2 linked regions of the Drosophila melanogaster genome follow. The protein of the gene in region 1 binds, or shares a complex with, the protein of each later gene. Each region holds a gene or a part of one and is shown in the gene's direction. Other genes may lie near its edges. The genes, in order: Cyfip and Hem.

Region 1 (11,922 bases):
ATCCACGCTGCCTGCCCCGGACAACCGCTTCCTTGTCTCCGGCAGCTCCAGTTCCGTGAAACCCGTCAGTAGGGGCACCAGCGCCTGTGGCGTACCATCGCCCACAATGTTATAGCCTTTGAGAACGGTGGCGCCCAACTGTTGGGTGAGATACTCGTAGGTCCTGGGCAGCTTGCGAATGAAGGCATTGCGACTCAGCGAATCGAAGCCAAACATGAGGACATTGTAGATGGGAGCTGTGGCCCCATCCTGCATCTGCTGCTGGGCCTGCGCAACCGCCTCGGGTGGTAGGACGGCCAAGTTCGGGGAGAAATTGGAGGCCGGTGGACGGGGCACCGTATCCCGTATTCCGTGGGCCATGCCAAACCAACTAAGTACATGAAGATCATTCTTTAAAGTATAGGCATAACTATAAAATAAGATAATGGTCACCTCTCGCCGCTGGAGGATCGACAGACCACCTTGACAAAGTCGCTGGCCTGCAGCACATAGGGCTCCTTCATGCGCAGTGACTGCCCAAAGCGAACCTTGTAGTCCGACTTGCGAATAATGTCCGTGTAGGAGCAGATCACATCCTCGTGGCTGGACGCAATCTCTGGTCGCACAAAGCAAATGGATTTCTTTGGGGGAAACGAGGTTTAAGTTAAGCAATCAGCTCTTGTAGAAGGGGCCCAGTCCCAACCAACCTCACACATGACCCAGTCCATGCCCTCGCCGCAGTTTATTCGCTCAACCGGCTTGTAGAACTTCATGATGTCCGGATTGTCCAGCGGCAGATGGGGATGCCGGCACTCGCCACGATTCACAGCCGATCTTATGGAGCGCTCGATGATTTCGCTTTAATTAAATACAAAATTGAATTAGTTGCAAAAGATAAATACTCTTTATCACAAATATGCGCATATGTACATATACATATGTATGGACAAACATCGTACAATCAATATCCCAAGCCGCTGTGACGCACAACTAGACATACTTACATTTTGAGGCTCTTATCCAGATCCCGCTCCACGTTCAACACATACCAGGTGACCAGCAGGACCACCACACAGCAACATGCTGCAATCTTGGGGACAGTTCCCCGCCGCACAAAGCGCATTTTGAATAAATTATGAGCTGCAAATATCGGACCAGACACATGAGACTTGCATTCGCATTATTGCTGCACATACAGCACTCACTCGGCACTCAAGCGACGTACTACTTACACCACTGCCGATCTCCAAACTTGCCGCCTATTCGACCTTTACTAAATATCCACGCTCATTTTTTAAATTAAACATTTAACTTATCACCAGCTGCGACGTACCGCTATATGCGAGTTGCCAAAACAGTGGCAAACAACATTGCGAATTCGGTCATACTGTGTTGTTTGGCAACGCGACCGCTGCAATTTAAACTGCGACTTTAAACTTTGCTTTAGGTCCGATTTAAAGTCGGTAGAACTTTCAGTTTGCTGTAGAACGAAATATACCGTTAGCTTATCGTTAATGATAGTGCTTTTTGCTATCAAAACACCATGTGATACAATCGAACTTAGGCGGGGATTAAATAATGGTAGATACTCCCTTAAATTTGCCGAGTACTTTACTTACACTCAGCATGTGACAAAGTAAATTCTATTAGTACCAAAGTTAAATAAGCCAACTGACAATTACTAAGAATAATAATTGGAAGAGAGATAAAGATCTGCTCCCACGATTATCTTCATATCTGATTTGGAGACTCGCCAAAAAGCTTGCGACAAAGCTCGCAGGCCGAGAACCGCGTCCGTCCGAAGATTCAGTTGTGCGCCAAGCTCAGCTTCGGCCTCTTCGTTTCACTCCGCTCCGCTGTGGCACCTGGTATCGTCCATATTATCGCGCCGTTTATTTTGATAACTGCTTCTGCGGTCGGTCTGTAATATTGTTTTTAGGCAAAACATTATCCGCAAACCACTGACGACGTCTTGAGAAAGGACTAACGAGGTCCGATTGCGCAACGAAAATGCTAAAGCCATCGATTATCTGCCTCTTTTTGGGCATTTTGGCGAAATCATCGGCGGGCCGTAAGTAAATAGAAGACTGCCAAGATGCTCATCTGCTGGACATGACTAGCTTAACGTATTTGTTTTTTTTTGCCGCGGGCCTTCACAAGTCGCTGGAAACCTGTTTCCGTACTTCCATAGCTAATGACCTAATTTATGTATTCACAATATTGGTAAGCTCTCTGAACCTAAAGTCTGGATTTCCAGAGTTCTACTTCCCCAACGAGGCGGCCCAGGTGCCCAACTATGGGCGCTGCATAACGCCGAATCGGGAGCGTGCGCTGTGCATCCATCTGGAGGACTGCAAGTACCTATACGGCCTGCTGACCACCACCCCGCTCCGGGACACGGACCGGCTTTACCTGAGTCGCAGCCAGTGCGGCTATACGAACGGCAAGGTGCTCATCTGCTGTCCGGACCGCTACAGGGAGAGCTCATCGGAGACGACGCCACCGCCCAAGCCCAATGTAACCAGCAACAGCCTTCTGCCGCTGCCAGGACAATGCGGCAACATCCTGTCCAATCGCATCTATGGCGGAATGAAGACCAAGATCGACGAGTTCCCCTGGATGGCTCTAATTGAATACACCAAAAGTAAGTAGAGGGGCATCGTCTTAAGTCTGAACGCACTTATCCACTGGTTAATTCCTACATGCAGGCCAGGGCAAAAAGGGTCACCATTGCGGCGGATCCTTGATCAGCACAAGATATGTGATCACAGCCTCGCATTGTGTCAACGGAAAGGCACTGCCCACCGACTGGCGGTTGTCCGGTGTTCGTTTGGGCGAATGGGACACCAACACTAATCCCGATTGCGAAGTAGATGTGCGCGGCATGAAGGACTGCGCGCCACCGCATCTGGACGTGCCCGTGGAGCGTACTATACCCCATCCCGACTATATACCGGCCTCCAAGAACCAGGTCAACGACATAGCCCTGCTGCGTCTGGCCCAGCAGGTGGAGTACACCGACTTTGTGCGACCCATTTGCCTGCCTCTGGACGTCAATCTGCGGTCGGCCACCTTCGACGGCATCACCATGGACGTGGCCGGCTGGGGCAAAACGGAGCAGCTGTCGGCCAGCAACCTCAAGCTGAAGGCAGCCGTGGAGGGATTCCGGATGGATGAGTGCCAGAACGTCTACAGCAGCCAGGACATTCTCCTCGAGGACACACAGATGTGTGCCGGCGGCAAGGAAGGCGTCGACTCCTGTCGCGGTGACTCCGGGGGACCGCTCATCGGCTTGGACACCAACAAGGTGAACACCTACTACTTCCTGGCCGGCGTCGTGTCATTTGGACCGACTCCGTGCGGTCTGGCCGGATGGCCAGGAGTTTACACGCTGGTGGGCAAGTACGTTGATTGGATACAAAACACTATTGAGTCCTGATTGTAAAATGTCATATTGTAAATAAATTCGACTAACGGTTTCCGTTTAAAAACTGCTTCACAGCGTGTACGCATACTGCATGTCGATGGGCGCGTTCGCCGAAATATTGGCATAGTCAATCTTTTATTTTGTAATGAAACTATTAAATTAAAATTGACAGTCATAATACTTTCAAAGGTACATTTTTTTTAATCAATTAAAAGGTAAATTGGGCAAATTATTTTGCTTTATTAAAATGTAAAGAAATAGTTGCAATAAAAAAACTAAATTCATAATCGTTTTCAAAGTCACTGAAAATTTTACTGCTGAACTCACGCAGATTAAATAATCATATCTGGCAACACTGCAAACTGGCTGAGTAGTCTGGCAACGCAGACATATTGGTGGTAAAAATGTTGAAGAACATCTACGTAACGCCGTTAAATTTGCTTAAATCGGCCACCAGCCTGCAGCAGCAAGTGCGGGTAAGTGCTCTCCTGGATTAGGGAAGCGATCCCCATTCACCACCAATTTGCTTCCAGACCACGTTCGTCCTGAAGCGCAAATATGACCCGCCGCTGCACAAAACCAACGAGAAACCCCGCCGGATGAGGGCCAAGAACTTCATCTACGAGCTCGTGGACGACACGCTGGTCAAAAAGCGGCCCAACATCGAGGTGGTGCTAAAGACCTTCGTCGAGGGCGTTGGCGACAAGGGCGACGTGGTGTCAATGAAGCCGCACTTTGTCTACAATAAGCTCCTGCTGCCGGGTTTGGCCGCGTACAATACGCCGGAGAATGTGGCCAAGTACGCCAAGACAGAGGCTGAAAAATCGACTGTTAAACACAGCTCCCCCTACGCCCAGCGCACGGTCAACATGCTGGAGACCATTGTGCTGGCGGTGGTCATGAACAAGGATGAGCCATGGGTGCTCGAGCCCTGGCACATCAAGGCCTCGCTGCGCAAGACTGGGTTCTATTGTCGCGAGGAGTGCATTACCCTGCCCAAGGAGCGCATCGAGGGACCCGACCTGAAGAAGGAGAACAAGGACTTCTACTGCACTGTGACCATAAACAAGCTGGAACAGGCGCGACTCAAGTGTCGTCTGCACCACTGGAGCACAGATCCCAGCGAACGGCTGCCTTACGTACTCGAGCACTGGAAACTCCAGTCTGAGCCCCTGCTGGATGTATGTTCACCCGAAAAAACCCCTTAGAGACCCCATACCAAATACATGCGATTGTTACAAAACTGTTGATTTATGAACAGCCGGAAAACAGAGTTTATTTAACATTTTTATCAAGTTGTACGACGTGGATACTTACTTAGGATTACAAGTCTATATGATGTTAATATAGTGCACTAATGCACAGCTTTCAGTTCCACTTCGAAGACGAGAGTGGAGTTCGGTCCGATCTTCGGTGGAGCTCCCCGTGCGCCGTACGCCATGTGCGGGGGGCAGGTAATGACTCGCTTGCCGCCCACCTTCATGCCGGCGACTCCCACGTCCCAGCCCTTGATGACCTCTCCGCCGCCCAGGGCGAACTTAAATGGTTTTCCCTTCAGGAGGCTGTCGAAGGTCTTGTTGTTCGACTGCAGGCGGCCGATGTAGTAAACAGATACGCGTTTGCCCTGCTTGGCTTCTTCGCCTTTGCCGACGACCTGATCCACAATCTTCACGCCTCCGGTGATAGTACGTGGATCCTTAGAAGCTGGTTGCTGCTTGGCTGGCTCCTTGGCCTTGGGTTGTTCCTTCTTGGCCTCTGGCTTCTCCTTCTTCTTTTGCTGCTGCTTGGCCTCCTCCTTCTTGGCCACACCGTTCTGCTCCTTGCCAGATTTCTTGGCGCTAGCGCCAGGAGAGAGCTTGGCAACCTTGGCCTTTGGCTGTTCCTCTTCAGCTTCGGAGTCGTCGCTGTCCTGTTCATCCTCCTCGCCACTCTCCTCGTTATCCTCATCAACATCGTCGTCATCTTCCTCCTCACCATTTTCGAGGAAGGACTCGTATTCCTCGATTATCTGGCTATCGTCATCAGTATCCTCCTCGTCCTCCTCGCCGCTCTCATTCTCATCCTCATCATCTTCAGACTTTTTGCTATTCTTGATCGCCTTGGAGTTCAGCAAATTCTCGATCGTCATTTGATCGTCATCCTCATCATCTTCGGAATCAATGTCGTGCAAGTAGCCCAACAGAGAAACGCTGGCGTCGCCTGTGAAACGAACGAAAGCGTCAGAAACGGATAAACATGCGAACATAGTGGACATAAAAGGTCTTACCGGCGGTGTAGAACATGATGCGATCGCCCTTGCTGAAGTTCAGGTCGAGCGCAACCTGTGGAATGGCCTTGGTCACGGTGGCCACGATGTACTCCTGCTTCTCGGCAGCGAGGTACAACTTGGCCTCCTGGCCCTTGTCGAGTGCCACGCCCGAGATGTGGAACGACTTGATGATCGTCTGCGAGTACTTGCGCTCAGGCTTCATGTTCAAACCTGGAAGAGGACACAGTTGGTCAAAAACATGGTTTACTTTACATCGGCGTGCAAATGGCGCCGCTCCACGCTGCCGGTAAATCGAGCGGCAAGCACGTGGTGGCAATAAAAGCGCGGTCGGAGCACCCAAGAGCTCGTTGGCACAACCAGCCCGGAGGGGGCAAGTGAGATCAGTTCGACTTACCCCAAAACATCGACATCTTGCAGAATTGTAGGCTACTCTTAACGGAAAATGCAATATAAAATAGGAGAAATTGAGTTCGCTAAAACGAAACGGAACCACAGACGCTAGTGATGTGATGTGCCGCCAATGCGCCGTATTTATCGATTATCTTTCTCTTATCGAAATTAGCGGTGCGCAGCCATATAAGCATAAGCACATCGTAGACGCCAACCGCCAGCAAAAATGTGCTAATTATGGCCACGTGTCCACGCACCCAGGCGAATGGTAAAAGTCGTGTTGTATTTGTGGCGAAAAAAATTTGTGTCGATTGGATTGGGGCCCCGCCTTGTTAGAATTTAACCATTTCGCGCTGCTGGAGCATGATAAGCAGCCCAGCATGACGGAGAAGATTACGCTAGCCGACGCGCTGTCCAACGTGGAGGTGTTGGACGAGCTATCCCTGCCGGACGAGCAGCCCTGCATCGAGGCGCAGCCCTGCTCGATTATCTACAAGGCAAACTTCGATACGAATTTCGAGGATCGCAATGGATTTGTCACGGGTATCGCCAAGTACATCGAGGAGGCCACCACCCATGCCAACTTGGTGAGTTAGCGTATCCGGCTTATCGCATTAGCATTACTCACAGCTCTGAACCCCTTCTCTCCGCCCGCAGAATGTGCTCCTGGACGAGGGGCAGAAACACGCAGTAATGCTCTACACCTGGCGCTGCTGCTCGCGCGCCATTCCGCAGCCCAAGTCCAATGAGCAGCCGAATCGCGTGGAGATCTACGAGAAGACGGTCGAGGTGCTAGCCCCGGAGGTGAACAAGCTGCTCAACTTCATGTACTTCCAACGCAAGGCCATCGAGGCCTTCTCCGGCGAGGTGAAGCGCTTGTGCCACGCCGAGAAGCGCAAGGACTTCGTGTCCGAGGCGTACCTATTGACGCTAGGCAAGTTTATCAACATGTTTGCCGTGCTGGACGAGCTGAAGAACATGAAGTCCAGCGTGAAGAACGATTACTCCACCTACAGGCGAGCTGCGCAGTTCCTCAAAGTGATGTCGGACTCGCACACCTTGCAGGAGTCGCAGAATCTGTCCATGTTCCTGGCCACGCAGAACAAGATTCGCGACACGGTCAAGGACACGCTGGAGAAGATCGTGGGCTACGAGGATCTGCTCTCAGATGTGGTCAACATTTGCGTGCATATGTTCGAGACAAAGATGTACTTGACCCCTGAGGAGAAGCACATGCTGGTAAAAGTTATGGGCTTTGGCCTGTTCCTTATGGACAGCGATGCGTGCAATATCAACAAACTTGATCAAAAGAAGAAGATACGGCTGGATCGCATCGATCGCATCTTTAAGAACCTGGAAGTGGTGCCCCTCTTCGGCGACATGCAGATTGCTCCCTTCAACTACATAAAGCGCAGCAAGCACTTCGATTCCAGCAAGTGGCCGCTGTCCAGCTCAAACGCCATCAGCCCACAGGCGGATCTAATGGTGCATTTGCCGCAGATACGCGAGGATCACGTCAAGTACATTTCGGAGCTGGCGCGATACACAAACGAGGTGACCACCACCGTCAAGGAGAATCCCTCTGATGCCGAGAACCGGATTACGGCCGACCTGGCTCTGCGCGGCCTTCAATTGCTGTCCGAGTGGACCAGTGTGGTCACCGAGTTGTACTCCTGGAAGCTCCTGCATCCGACTGATCATCACCAGAACAAGGAGTGCCCCGTGGAGGCTGAGGAGTACGAGCGGGCCACCCGCTACAATTACACCTCGGAAGAGAAGTTCGCGCTGATCGAGGTCATCGCCATGATAAAGGGACTGCAGGTGCTAATGGCGCGCATTGAAACCGTATTGTGCGAGGCTATCCGGCGTAACATCTATTCCGAGCTGCAGGACTTCGTGCAGCTTTCGCTTCGTGAACCGCTGCGAAAGGCCGTAAAAAATAAGAAGGATCTTATCCGGAGCATCATCATGTCGGTGCGAGAGACATCGGCGGACTGGCAAAAGGGCTATGAGCCCACCGACGATCCAGTGGCCAAGGGCAAGAAGGATCCCGACGGCGGCTTCCGCATCCAGGTGCCTCGCCTCAATGTGGGACCTTCCTCCACTCAGCTATACATGGTGCGCACCATGCTGGAGTCTCTGATTGCCGACAAAAGCGGCGGCAAGCGCACTTTGCGCAAGGACATCGACGGAAACTGTTTGCTGCAGATCGACACGTTCCACAAGACATCGTTCTACTGGAGCTACTTGCTCAACTTCAGCGACACGCTTCAGAAGTGCTGCGATCTCTCGCAGCTGTGGTATCGCGAGTTCTACTTGGAGATGACCATGGGTCGTAAGGTTAACAAGTGCTTGGTGCGGCATCAGCACAACGAGGAGTGCAAGGATCTGATCACCATGGAGAAGCGCATTCAGTTTCCGATTGAAATGTCCATGCCCTGGATCCTAACCGATCACATTCTGCAAACGAAGGAGCCCTCAATGATGGAGTAAGTAAATGGCGAATAGGTGAAATGATCTGAACTAACTAAGTGCCTCACACAGATTTGTCTTGTATCCCCTGGACTTGTACAACGACTCGGCGTACTACGCACTCACTGTCTTCCGAAAGCAGTTCCTGTACGACGAAGTGGAGGCCGAAGTCAATCTGTGCTTCGATCAGTTTGTCTACAAGCTGAGCGAGCAGATCTTTGCCCATTACAAGCAATTGGCGGGCAGCATCTTCTTGGACAAGCGATTCCGTTTGGAGTGCGAGGTACTCGGTTTCAACTTCCAGTCGTATCCCCGCAATAATCGTTATGAGACCTTGTTAAAACAACGACATGTCCAACTTTTGGGTAAGCAAAACACCCATTGCATCATGATCTTTTGGTTAATGGTTTCTCCATTCGTTTAAGGCCGTTCTATTGACTTGAACAAACTGATCACACAACGCATAAACGCCAACATGCACAAGAGCATTGAGTTGGCCATCAGTCGTTTCGAGGGCAACGATATAACCGGCATTGTGGTAAGTGGAATCCTACAGATGTCTAGAATCGGTCTCTAATTCGCTTAATTTCAGGAACTCGAAGGCCTGCTAGAGGCGAATCGAATTTGCCACAAGTTGCTAAGCAAGTACTTGGCCCTGGATAACTTTGACGGCATGGTAAAGGAGGCTAACCACAATGTACTGGCGCCTTACGGCAGAATAACACTGCACGTCTTTGTGGAATTGAACTACGACTTTCTGGTCAATTACTGCTATAATGCAGCCACGAATCGGTGGGTGTGCCGCCAATTTTCTATTGTTTAAAATACTTATTATTACTATTATCTCTTGCAGTTTCATTCGAACCAAAGTGAATCTTTCGTCGTCACAGGCTATTCAGCGTGAGAAGCCGCCACAAATGTCCCATTACTATCTGTGGGGTTCCAAGCAGCTGAATGCTGCCTATTCCACACAGTATGGCCAGTACACTGGCTTTGTAGGTTCACCGCATTTCCATGCCATGTGCCGCCTGCTGGGCTATCAGGGCATAGCAGTCGTCATGGACATTATACTGAAGGACATTGTTAAGCCACTGATCCAGGGCTCGCTGCTGCAGTTCACCAAGACGCTGATGATTGCCATGCCCAAGTCATGCAAACTACCCCGTTGCGAATATGGTTCGCCTGGAGTGCTCAGCTACTATCAGGCTCATCTTACAGACATCGTGCAATATCCGGACGCGAAGACAGAGCTATTTCAGTCTTTCCGGGAGTTTGGCAACAGCATTATCTTTTGCCTGCTGATCGAACAGGCGCTCTCGCAGGAGGAGGTGTGCGATCTACTGCACGCCGCCCTCTTCCAGAACATCTTTCCCAGACCTTTTTGCAAAGGTATGTACAAGTGGATGCTTTCATGGGTAGTTTTTCTTACTTACATCTCTACCCATTTCAGAGAATGAAAAACCGGAGGCTAAGCAAAAGCGTCTTGAAGCACAGTTTGCCAATCTGCAGATAGTTTCAAACGTGGAAAAGATTGGCACTGCAAAGGTGAGCCCCCAAACTTAATTGATTAACTTTATAATAATAATCTTTACCAACAGCAAGCAATGATAGCACGAGAGGGAGATTTGCTGACTCGTGAGCGTCTTTGCTGTGGCCTCAGCATTTTTGAAGTTATTCTCAACCGCGTGAAGAGCTATTTGGACGACCCTGTGTGGTGTGGTCCTCCACCGGCCAACGGGATTATCCACGTGGATGAGTGCTCGGAGTTCCATCGCCTTTGGTCGGCTCTGCAGTTCGTTTATTGCATTCCAGTCAGGGGAACGGAGTACACCATCGAGGAGCTCTTCGGCGAAGGTCTGAACTGGGCTGGCTGCGTCATGATCGTACTGCTGGGACAGCAGCGTCGCTTCGAGGCTCTGGACTTTTGCTACCACATTCTGCGGGTACAGCGCGTCGATGGCAAGGATGAGGACGTAAAGGGCATTGTAAGTTCTAACATAACTACCAAAGTGCCCAAAGTACAATTTGAATATTCCTTAACAGCAATTGAAGCGAATGGTGGATCGGATTCGTCGGTTCCAAGTATTAAACTCACAAATCTTCTCCATTCTCAACAAGTATCTAAAGGGCGGCGATGGCGAGGGCTCAAATGTGGAGCACGTGCGGTGTTTTCCACCGCCTCAGCATCCCTCGGTCATATCGTCCTCGTCGCACTACCAGGATCCCCAGAAGCTGCGGCAGAGCATAAACAATTGAAGTCGCCCGGAAAGGGATGCATTTAAGCTAATCGCATACAAATAGGTTACACTTAATCGCAGATGAATTAGTCCCCAGGAAAACAGCGACGTAGAAGCCGAAAAGCCAAGTTTTCTTGGCTATGCTGCCGAAACTTTGACAGTTTTTTTAGTCAAAGTGGCGGTCTTGGTTCTATTTGAATTCGATTTTATTGAAAATCTCTTTTGGTATGTCGCATTCAATCTTACAGTACGTTAAATGTTTTATCCAAGCAATTATATATATATACATGTAGATGTAATTTTGATTCACTTGCTACGGCATTCGATTCAGCTACTCGTACATTATCCCAAATACTCTATTCTAAGCTCCCTAAGATATTATGTTTTTGGCCTATGTATTCCTTCGCTACAAACAGATACATTTATGTTCTGCTTCCCGATTCGAGAATCAAATTAGCCAAAGAATTGAATTGACAGCACTGCGAAAATAAAAACAAATTGGCTTTAAACACAATCAAAGTATTACAAAGAAGATGCCGCACATGTATGCCCACATACATGAAAAGAAGCCACGACAGCCAACAATTGAGACACATACAATTAATACAATGAACATTATCGAATAAAATTTTCATACGTATTTCTAACAAACCCAACAAAAAAAGTTTAGAAAGTATATGTAGGTGAGTTTGATGCAAGATTGAAAGGGAAACTTCTTTACTTTCCAGCGGATTTCGTCAAAGGATAAAATTATTTATTTTTTGATAAGCTATAATACTACCTATCCGTACCACTAACTGGAATATTGATTGCGAATTTGGCAATTGGGAAGTGTATTGCGGAATGGGTTGTCAAACACAATTTATCTAACAGTTACAGCCGTTGGTGGCTTTGGCTTTCTTTCGAGGATCGGTGTACGTGTACAGTACTGTGACGTTGTCGGCATAGTTTCTCGGAAGATCGAAGTCCGCACTATCCGCACCCAGGTAGCAGGCTCCGTAGGCACTGCTCTTGGTGATGCGCACCAGCTTGAGGTCGAAGTCGATGGTTGTCTTAGCGAGTTCACTGATGAAGGCCTCCTGCAGCAGATCCCAGCTGGACCACACGGATCCTACGCACACTACGCTTAGGTCCCCGGACTTGACCAG
Region 2 (10,644 bases), on another chromosome or scaffold:
CAGTAGTCCTTTTTTGGTGATCAACAACGTAAATATTAAAGTTAACTCCATACAATCCAAACAAGTGCTCCAACTCAGAGCGAAGTGTAGGCAGTGAAATAATTTCCTTGCTAACGTTGTGCTGCAGAAATAGAGACGCTTTGCTGCTATTTCCAAATCGTGGCACCAGATCTTCTGCCAAGGATATATTTAACCAAGGCAAATTAGGAAGCTGTAATTCCTCAGTCGAACAAATAGTCAACTTTAAGGGAACTCCTTTAAGATCGACAAGCTCACTAGCTATTAAACGCTTCTTGGACGCCTGCTCAGATGAATAGGGAGCAAACTCCGACTTAATGGCCGTCTTGATTATGCTGGCATAGTTGGACAAAACTTTGGCTAGCTGAGCCTGAGCCTCCAGGACCTCCTGCTTAGCTTTGTTATCGGCAGCTAGCTCATGGAAGATAAGAACGGGATCGGTCGGTATAAGTTGAGCCTTCTTTTTTAGTTTCTGGACTCTATTTATGACCTCACGAGCCAAGCCCTCTTCAAGCAATTCTTCGTTAGGCGTCATGTCCAACAGTACCAAAACCTCATTATCGCTGTGAGCCTCAAAGTTTCCTCCAACCTGCTCAGATGTGCAGTAAATGATGCGAACTTCATCAAGTTCAATTCTTTGATCCAGAATGTCAAAGTAACCCTGCGAAACTTGCTTCTGAATTTCATCATCCCTGAGAGCCTTGATAGCAGCCATAACCGCTTTGAAATTGCCCTTAAGCCGCTGACCTAGCGCCTGTAAAATTAAGTAATCCATTTTGTTATCTTTATAGGTAAGAAATTCATAATAAACAAACCTTGTGGTCAGGCTCTGCTCTCAATGTTACACCATATTTCTCCTTATCAGAGCTTAGCGTAAGTTTTCGAACATTGAGTTCGCTAAGAATGAAGTCCTGCAAGGTCTTGATTGCCTCCAGGATTTGCGAGTCCTTGTGAATTGCTATGATCTCCGAAACAGGATACTTAACAGGCAAGGTTCTTCGATCCCGCATTACACGACCCAGCTCGACAACTGATTGCATCAAAGCCACCGAGCGCTCAATATCGTTTCGAATAAATTTTTTCTGACTGACCGGCATCATCTGGTAGTGAACTGAGTCAGCATGCTCTAGGGTTCCGGCTGGCTGGAACAATACCAGCCGCTGGAATATGTACTCCGTAAGGTAAGGCGTGAAAGGAGCCATCATTTTAACCATTGTGTATAGAACATCGTAAAGCGTGTCAAGTGATTGAATGCACTGATCAGCTCCCAATTCACCCTTGATGCGACGTCGATTTAGTCGAACATACCTGTAAGAGAATTGTTCACGCGTTAACTAACTCATGCTTAAATCATTAAATTTTATAGAACATACCAATTGGTAAGTTGATCAATGAACTTTGTCAGCCGGGGTACGACAGTGTACAGGCGATACATTTTCATCTCAGTGGCAAAGAACTCGAGTAAGGATTCCTTAAAAGACAAAATCCACACATCTATAACGGAGGCCTTGTCCATATTCTTTAAGTGGCGTTCACGATCATAAGTATATTGTCCATTTCCTGCCAAATCCTCCTTCTCATATCGAACGATATTTTGTAGTAAGAATCGGTATGCATTGTACCACGGTAGGAACACATCTTTGATTATGTCGCGCACACCTTCTTCCTTAAAACGCAGACTCTCGGCCCTTACGACGGGCGAATTGATAAGGTACAGTCGGAGAGCATCCGCTCCATACTTATGGACCACCTCCATTGGATCGGGATAGTTCTTCTTGCGCTTCGACATTTTTTGACCATCAGCAGCTAAGACCAGTCCACTTGCAATGAGGTTTTTAAATGGTGCCTTATTAAATAGCGCCGTCGAAATCACAAGGAGTGTGTAAAACCAGCCTCGGGTCTGATCGATACCCTCTGCTATAAAGTCAGCCGGGAAATTGTTCATAAAGTCCTTTTCGTTTTCAAAAGGGAAATGCTGTTGTGCGAACGGCATTGAACCTGATTCAAACCAACAGTCAAAAACAGGAGCTATGCGACGCAGTGGTGGATTTCCAGGAACTGCCGATGGTATTTCAATGTGGTCGATACTTTCTCTATGAAGATCCTCGACTTGAACGCCGGAAAGCTCGGCTAACTGCTTGATACTGCCGATAACGACGGTCTCATCACCGCTAGGCGACCTCCAGATAGGAATCGGCGTGCCCCAGTAGCGATTGCGGGAGATCTAGATATATAATTTGATTTAAAAACATAACAAAAAAGTTTCCTTTACAAAACTTACAGCCCAATCTCTGGCCTCTTTCAGCCAGTTTCCAAAACGTTTCTCCTTGACGAAGTCCGGCACCCAGTACGTTTGGGAACTGCAATCAAGCAGGTTTTTAGACATGTGCTCGACGCGCACAAACCAGGAAGGAACCGCCTTATAGATAAGAGGCGTGTCTGACCGCCAGCAGAATGGGTAGCTATGCTTCACCTGGCCACTGGAAACCAAGTTTCCTCGTGCCTTCAGCGCGGCCATTATTTGCTTATCAGAATCTTTGACGTATTGGCCCTCGAAATCGCTTGCCTCGTTAGTAAACCGTCCTGCCTCGTCCACTGGGCAGAGAACCTCACTGGACTTTGTGATGAGGCCCGCAGCGAGGCACACACGATAATCGTCTTCTCCGAAGTAGGGAGCATTGTGCACAATACCCGTACCGGAATCCTCAGTCACGTACTCGTCGACCAGGACACGATAAGCTTTCACCTCAGCTCCTCGCTTCGCAAAGTAAGGGAAAAGCGGCTTGTAGTGAAGGTCCTTAAGGGTTTTGCCAACAAACTTTTCCTTCACTTCGTACTCCGTCTCCGATTTGTACACGTAAGAGAGACGAGACTCTGCGAGAACAAAAAGTCGGTCGCTCTTTACGTCGCGCACTTTTACATAGGTCATCGTCGGATGAACACAGCATGCGAAGTTTGAGGGCAGTGTCCATGGCGTGGTGGTCCACACTAGGAAGAAGGTATTGGGCAACGAAACGGCCTCCAGTGCAACTACTACGCAAGGGTCCACAACCTCCTTGTAGTTTTGGTTGGCCTCGAAGTTCGAAAGGGACGTTGTGCAGGCGGTGGAATAGGGCATCACCTTAACGCCCTGGTAGACCAGACCCTTGTCGAACAGTTGCTTGAAGATCCACCAAATGGACTCCATGTACCATGGGTACAACGTCTTGTAATCGTTCTTGAAGTCAATCCAGCGACCCACGCGCGTCACCACATTCTCCCACTCATCTGCGTAACGCATGACAATCTTCCGGCACTCGGCATTGTAGGCTGCGATTCCCATCTTGGCCACGTCCTCAGGACCCTTGATATTCAGCAGCTTGTCAATCTCGAACTCCACGGGCAGTCCGTGGCAATCCCAGCCGAAGCGACGGTCCACATGGTATCCCTGCTGGTATGCGTACCGTGTGACGATGTCCTTGATGGTGCCAGCAAGAATGTGTCCGTAGTGGGGCAGCCCGGTTGCAAAGGGCGGTCCATCGTAGAACGTGTATCTTGGAGGTGGAAAATTAGCACAAAATTTGGCGATCGGCTGATGCAATCGTATGCGGCACTTACTTGGGCTTTCCCTTCGACAGCTGGCTGCACTTTTCAAAGATATTTTCGTGTCGCCATTTCTGCAGTACGTTCTCCTCCTCGGCCGGGAAATTAATGTTCTCTGGCACCCGACACACGTCGTTCCGCTCTAGTTTTTTTCCCATGGCTGTCAAAGTTCACTGTTGTATTATTTATCAAGTAACAGAGCTTATTCGCCCACCTTTTATATCAGAAATTCAACTGACTTGCGGCGTTTTTGCGTGGCACACAACGTGCCCGAGGTACGGAACTAGTGGTTCATTAATCGCTCTCTAGCTCATGGGTTCGCGATATCGATAGTAGGTTCCGATGAGCGGCATCCTTGATAATCAGCTGACGACAGCACTGAAAAAAAAAGAAAGGCTTATTTACTATTAACAACTTTAATAAATTTGTTAGCCATAAGAATAAAAAACTGAACTGTAAGTTACTAAGTAAGAAAGCCATTGGCAATTGAATGAATAAACTATGCAATAGTTTTGAAAGCAATTATTCCTGACTTAGACAAATAATTCTAATAAATTAAAACCCCAAATACCAGCTATTATTAATTTGTAGTATAACCAAATTACTGTAATATATAATTATAAAAAAATTATCTTAAATTATATTAAGCCATATGTTTTTTTTCTCAGCAGTATATTTTCTTTTTAACAATCAATAGTTTAGCATATATATGGTAGCTATCGTTATCGATAGCAATATATCTTTGCTATCAGCCCATTGGTCATCACTAACGCGAAAACAAGAGGAAGAGTAATGTGTACACTTTTGTGTCGCTCCTTTTCGGCCAATTTAACAAACGAAAAAGTATAAGTACTGGGCAAATCAGCACTTGCACGCCTCCCAATACGTCTCGCCAGCGCACACCTGTGTTCTGGGCTCCACCGGAAACTCGCCTTCAGCCATTCGACGTCGCCAACAGTCATCGGATATGGCACGCCCAATTTTTCCGAACCAGCAGAAGATAGCTGAGAAACTAATCATCTTGAATGACCGCGGCCTGGGCATTCTTACGCGGATATACAACATCAAGAAAGCATGCGGCGACACCAAGTCGAAGCCAGGCTTCCTCTCCGAGAAGTCGTTGGAATCGAGCATCAAGTTTATCGTGAAGCGGTTCCCCAACATCGACGTCAAAGGGCTCAATGCTATTGTAAACATCAAAGCGGAGATTATTAAGTCGCTGTCCCTGTATTACCACACATTCGTGGACCTACTTGATTTCAAGGACAATGTATGCGAACTGCTCACCACGATGGACGCCTGCCAGATTCACCTGGACATCACATTGAACTTCGAGCTGACCAAATATTATCTGGACTTGGTTGTGACCTACGTGTCCTTGATGATTGTTTTGTCTAGGGTCGAGGACCGCAAGGCAGTTCTGGGCTTGTACAATGCCGCCTACGAGCTGCAAAACAATCAGGCGGACACGGGCTTCCCCCGCTTGGGGCAGATGATTCTGGACTACGAGGTCCCCTTAAAAAAGTTGGCCGAGGAATTCATTCCCCACCAGCGCCTGCTAACCAGTGCGTTGCGGTCGCTGACCTCCATCTATGCACTGCGAAACCTGCCAGCAGACAAGTGGAGGGAAATGCAAAAGTTGAGTCTGGTAGGCAATCCGGCCATTCTTCTTAAGGCCGTCCGCACTGACACCATGTCCTGCGAGTACATATCCCTGGAGGCAATGGACCGCTGGATAATCTTTGGCTTGCTGCTGAACCATCAAATGCTCGGACAGTACCCGGAAGTCAACAAAATCTGGCTCTCCGCCCTGGAGTCAAGCTGGGTTGTGGCCTTGTTCCGCGACGAGGTCCTGCAAATTCATCAATACATTCAGGCTACTTTCGACGGAATTAAAGGTTACAGCAAGCGGATCGGAGAAGTAAAGGAAGCCTACAACACGGCGGTTCAAAAAGCTGCTTTAATGCATCGGGAGCGGCGCAAGTTTCTTCGAACAGCCTTGAAGGAGCTAGCTCTTATTATGACCGACCAACCAGGCCTCCTGGGACCTAAGGCAATATTCATTTTCATCGGTCTTTGTCTTGCGCGCGATGAGATTCTATGGCTCCTCAGGCATAATGACAACCCACCTCTTCTCAAAAATAAAGGTTAGTTAAGGATTTTCTTACGATTAAATTAAAATTTGTGAACCTTAACTATTTTAAATTTATAGGAAAGAGCAATGAAGATCTTGTAGACCGACAGCTGCCGGAGCTCTTATTCCACATGGAGGAACTCCGCGCTCTTGTGCGTAAATACAGCCAGGTAATGCAGCGATATTACGTGCAATACTTGTCCGGATTCGATGCCACGGATCTTAATATTCGAATGCAAAGTCTGCAAATGTGTCCAGAAGACGAAAGCATAATCTTCAGTTCGCTCTACAACACGGCTGCAGCCCTGACAGTTAAGCAGGTGGAAGACAACGAACTCTTTTATTTCCGACCATTCCGCCTGGACTGGTTCCGCCTCCAAACGTACATGAGTGTGGGAAAGGCTGCACTTAGGATCGCAGAGCATGCAGAGCTGGCCCGCCTACTGGATTCAATGGTTTTCCACACTAGGGTGGTAGATAACTTGGACGAAATACTAGTAGAAACCTCGGATCTCAGTATCTTCTGTTTCTATAACAAAATGTTTGACGACCAATTCCACATGTGCTTGGAGTTTCCCGCGCAGAACCGCTACATCATAGCGTTTCCCTTAATCTGCAGCCACTTCCAAAATTGTACGCACGAAATGTGCCCGGAGGAGCGACACCATATACGTGAAAGGTCTCTCAGCGTGGTAAATATATTTCTTGAGGAAATGGCTAAGGAGGCTAAAAACATTATAACCACAATTTGCGATGAGCAGTGCACAATGGCAGACGCTCTATTGCCAAAACACTGTGCTAAGATTCTTTCCGTACAATCTGCTCGTAAGAAGAAGGACAAATCGAAGTCTAAGCATTTTGACGACATACGAAAGCCGGGAGACGAGTCGTACCGAAAGACACGAGAGGATCTGACGACGATGGACAAGTTGCACATGGCCCTGACGGAGCTTTGTTTTGCAATCAATTATTGCCCCACGGTCAACGTTTGGGAGTTTGCTTTTGCCCCTCGCGAGTATCTCTGTCAGAACCTGGAACACCGCTTTTCCCGGGATCTTGTTGGCATGGTGATGTTCAACCAGGAGACAATGGAGATAGCCAAGCCCTCGGAGCTGCTGGCCAGCGTTCGAGCCTACATGAACGTGCTGCAGACAGTAGAGAACTACGTGCACATAGACATAACACGAGTTTTCAACAACTGCCTGTTGCAGCAAACACAGGCTTTAGACTCTCATGGCGAGAAAACCATTGCCGCTTTGTACAACACCTGGTACAGTGAGGTTCTGCTAAGGCGTGTCTCCGCTGGCAACATTGTGTTCTCCATTAACCAAAAGGCTTTTGTTCCCATTTCGCCCGAGGGCTGGGTACCATTTAACCCGCAGGAATTCTCTGATCTCAACGAGCTGCGAGCACTTGCAGAACTTGTGGGACCTTACGGTATCAAAACATTGAACGAAACACTTATGTGGCACATAGCAAACCAGGTGCAAGAGTTGAAGTCGCTGGTGAGCACCAACAAGGAAGTGCTCATTACACTGCGAACCAGTTTTGACAAACCTGAAGTGATGAAGGAGCAATTTAAGCGCTTACAGGACGTGGACCGCGTGCTGCAACGCATGACGATCATTGGTGTGATCATATGTTTCCGCAACCTGGTGCATGAAGCCCTCGTTGATGTGCTGGACAAGCGCATACCCTTCCTGCTTAGCTCAGTGAAGGACTTTCAGGAACATTTGCCCGGAGGCGACCAAATTAGGGTTGCTTCCGAGATGGCCTCAGCAGCGGGTCTGCTATGCAAGGTAGACCCCACATTAGCAACTACACTGAAATCAAAAAAGCCAGAATTCGATGAGGGTGAGCACCTCACTGCCTGTCTACTGATGGTCTTTGTGGCAGTGTCTATACCAAAACTGGCCCGTAACGAAAATTCCTTCTACAGAGCCACAATTGATGGCCACTCAAATAACACGCACTGCATGGCGGCGGCCATTAATAACATCTTCGGAGCCCTGTTTACCATCTGCGGTCAAAGTGACATGGAGGACCGCATGAAAGAGTTCCTTGCTCTGGCCAGTTCTTCCCTACTGCGCTTGGGCCAGGAGTCCGACAAAGAGGCGACACGGAACCGAGAGTCCATCTATTTGCTGCTGGACGAAATCGTCAAACAATCGCCCTTCCTCACAATGGATCTGCTTGAGTCCTGCTTTCCCTACGTGCTTATACGCAACGCGTACCATGGCGTATACAAGCAGGAACAGATCTTAGGGCTGGCACTCTAAATGGAGCCGATCTGTGTATTCCACATAATGCTTATGTAGTTTATCCGCCGATCGACTATCGATCACTATGCTAATCTAACATACTTTAAAACTGTTAAACATACCCAAATGTATTCTAGACTCTGCATTTTTATACTCGTACGACTTCGAATAAAGTGCTTATACAACCCAAATAAGTATCCCACATTAATAAGCTGTCTCTAGATCGGATCGGTATGTATATTCTTTATTTCGGCTTATTGAAATATGTGTCCACTCCCGCGAACGTGCAGCTCCTCCGCTTCAATTTCTGTTAAATTTCATTTGGACACATGCGCACACGTGTGTGTATATTAAATATGAGTTTGGGGGAAAAATCTTCCGCAATATTAAATTATTTGGTCACGTTCAATGTTACTTTGTAGGCTTGTGTACAAATACTTGTAGGCAAGTAGTAAAATATGTTTTCGTTATTTTGTAATATGATTTCTCAGTAGTTATCATTGGTAGTATTTAAATTTCGATTTTGAGTTTTCAATTCCGATACAAAGACTTTTATGCAATGATTTATTATTGTTTTTAATTCTTTTTGAATTACATGATCTGGGATAGGTTCTTTTTCACGGATGGTTAAATGATAAGTTTTGCAAACCGAAATCGGGTAAGTAGGGCATCTTTTCAAATCTGCTCGTAATCAACATAGGCCTAAACATCTACAAATGGGTTCGGTTAAATGTACCAAAATCACTACACTCTGCTAAAAAGCTGTCAATATTTGAGTTTACATCTGTATTTGTGAACATTCTCGATATCTACAATGGGGTTTCGTTAATTATACACATACTTGCTTATTAATATTATAGAAGGTATTGTTATTTATGTGATGCTGAATATTTTGCTAGTTCGTACAATCTATTTAGCATTTCTCACTGATTTGGTTTTACTTGGTTTCGCATGAAAATGTATTCCTTTTCAGTCAGTCAGTTTAGGCATCTGTTGACTAAAAATTGTCGTCATTGTCTTTTGTTTTTGTTTCTCAGTTAATAAAAAATATATGTGTATATGTATGTATATACTTATATGCACGTCGTCGAAATAAAACTTGAAAAACATTTGCGCTACTTCTCTCGTTTGCTTTTGTCGTTAAAAGTAAAATCGCTTCTTTAGTAATTACATTTTAAAGCTCTCAAGTACAAAAATTAAAAAGCTTAAAAAATTCGACGCGGAACGCCCCCACATCGTCCGCATTTCGTAAGTGTAAAATGTGTGTGCTTCGATCGAGTCCTTTAATGCTAGCTCCTCATCCCATTTTCCTGCTACCTCCTCTTTATGGCAAATTGTTTGCATATAAAAGTTAAGCCTAGAAATACAATACGAGTACGAAATACGTATGTTATGTATGCAATATTTTACTGTGCCTATGCCTGTGTCTCTCTGGCTGTCTAGTCACTCCATGAGCCTCTTAGACGAACTCCTCCTGCTCCAACCACGGATGCTGCAGGCACTCCGCTGCCGACGCCCGTATAACCGGATTGTACTCAAGCATGGGCAGCAGAAAGTCGGAGAACTTCTTGGCCTCCACCGGGTCCCAGTCGTACTTCTCCACCAGCACGTTCATTAGACTCCAGGGCTTCAGCTTGGTGATGTTCCTCAGGCTACCTGCAAATGGGAATCAACAGGGGTCACACATCACACACCATTCCTTGAGCTAAATTCGATTTGATACCTACCATAGCTGGTGAAGTACTTCAGCCCGTGCTTACCGCGGAAGATCACCGACTGCGGTATGGAGCCCAGCAGCTCCACAATATGCGCCAAGTGGTCCTCGTCCCGACTGTAAGACTCTCCGGCGTGAGGGTCGAACAGGTAGTCGCCGGTGGCCAGCTCGAAGGCCAAACAGGCTGTGCTCCAGATGTCGGCGGTATAATTGTACGGCGCTCCCAAAAGAACCTCGATTGATCGATACTGGCGAGTCTGAATGTCCTCAGTAAAGTGATGGTACTGAGAATTCATAGAAAGCCGAAAACGGACTTATTACTTTTGAAAACCATGTGCGGGGTCGTGTTTCCGACCTTAAAAGGTATATATTCTCGGTCAGGATTACTAGAAGAGTTTATCTGGCCATGTCCTTCTGCCTTGCAATTTCTATTGATATGCCAAAACATTTTGCCCACTCTAATGCCTACAAACCACAAAAAACTGTCACGCCCTCAATTCGGAAAATTATCCCTCCCACGTCCACTATTTAGGTAGACCTGATTTCTTGAAATTTTCTGATTTGCATTTTCTATAGACAATTGGTCCCATTCTAATAAAATAAAAACCGTAATAGAATAATGGCAAAAAATTGGTTTATACCGAATCGGAAGAATCTAAAGTACAAATAACTCCATACCCCCTTTAAAGTAAAGTAAAAGGGTTCACTAGAATCATTGAAAAGTATGTAACAGGTAGAGTGAAGTGTTATTTTGGATGCCATATAGCCATGTTCGTTTGTTCTTCTGTCCGTATGAACTACTCGATCTCAGGACCTATAAAAGCTCGAATGTTGAGATTAGGCTGATTCCAGATGTTGCCAATAATCAAAACTGCCACGCGCAAATAAAACAATTTTGGATATTGAAATTTTCTAGTTTGCATTCCTGATTATGA

What was found.
Region 2: Cyfip (region 1) and Hem share a complex: the UniProt entries of both Drosophila melanogaster proteins name them as parts of the WAVE complex.

What each region holds. Positions count from the first base shown.
Region 1 is NT_033777.3:15,326,944-15,338,865, forward strand, and holds Cyfip (cytoplasmic FMR1 interacting protein), read left to right. Parts: upstream 1-6,322; 5' UTR 6,323-6,445; coding exon 6,446-6,652; intron 6,653-6,722; coding exon 6,723-8,554; intron 8,555-8,609; coding exon 8,610-8,902; intron 8,903-8,962; coding exon 8,963-9,075; intron 9,076-9,129; coding exon 9,130-9,329; intron 9,330-9,390; coding exon 9,391-9,926; intron 9,927-9,987; coding exon 9,988-10,082; intron 10,083-10,135; coding exon 10,136-10,522; intron 10,523-10,580; coding exon 10,581-10,793; 3' UTR 10,794-11,422; downstream 11,423-11,922. Other genes in the region: CG6236 (uncharacterized protein), read right to left, coding at 1-370, 433-620, 687-837, 984-1,102; ea (easter), read left to right, coding at 1,990-2,050, 2,237-2,623, 2,688-3,418; mRpL9 (mitochondrial ribosomal protein L9), read left to right, coding at 3,811-3,882, 3,940-4,614; Fkbp39 (FK506-binding protein 39kD), read right to left, coding at 4,761-5,605, 5,673-5,885, 6,070-6,085; Nagk (N-acetylglucosamine kinase), read right to left, coding at 11,641-11,922. UniProt on the Drosophila melanogaster protein: Plays a role in guidance and morphology of central and peripheral axons and in synaptic morphology. Also required for formation of cell membrane protrusions and for bristle development.
Region 2 is NT_037436.4:22,281,911-22,292,554, reverse strand, and holds Hem (HEM-protein), read left to right. Parts: upstream 1-4,359; 5' UTR 4,360-4,567; coding exon 4,568-5,747; intron 5,748-5,812; coding exon 5,813-8,013; 3' UTR 8,014-8,201; downstream 8,202-10,644. Other genes in the region: IleRS (Isoleucyl-tRNA synthetase), read right to left, coding at 1-772, 834-1,326, 1,392-2,242, 2,300-3,551, 3,616-3,758; Srpk79D (Serine-arginine protein kinase at 79D), read right to left, coding at 9,455-9,651, 9,723-9,993. UniProt on the Drosophila melanogaster protein: Plays a role during growth of the oocyte.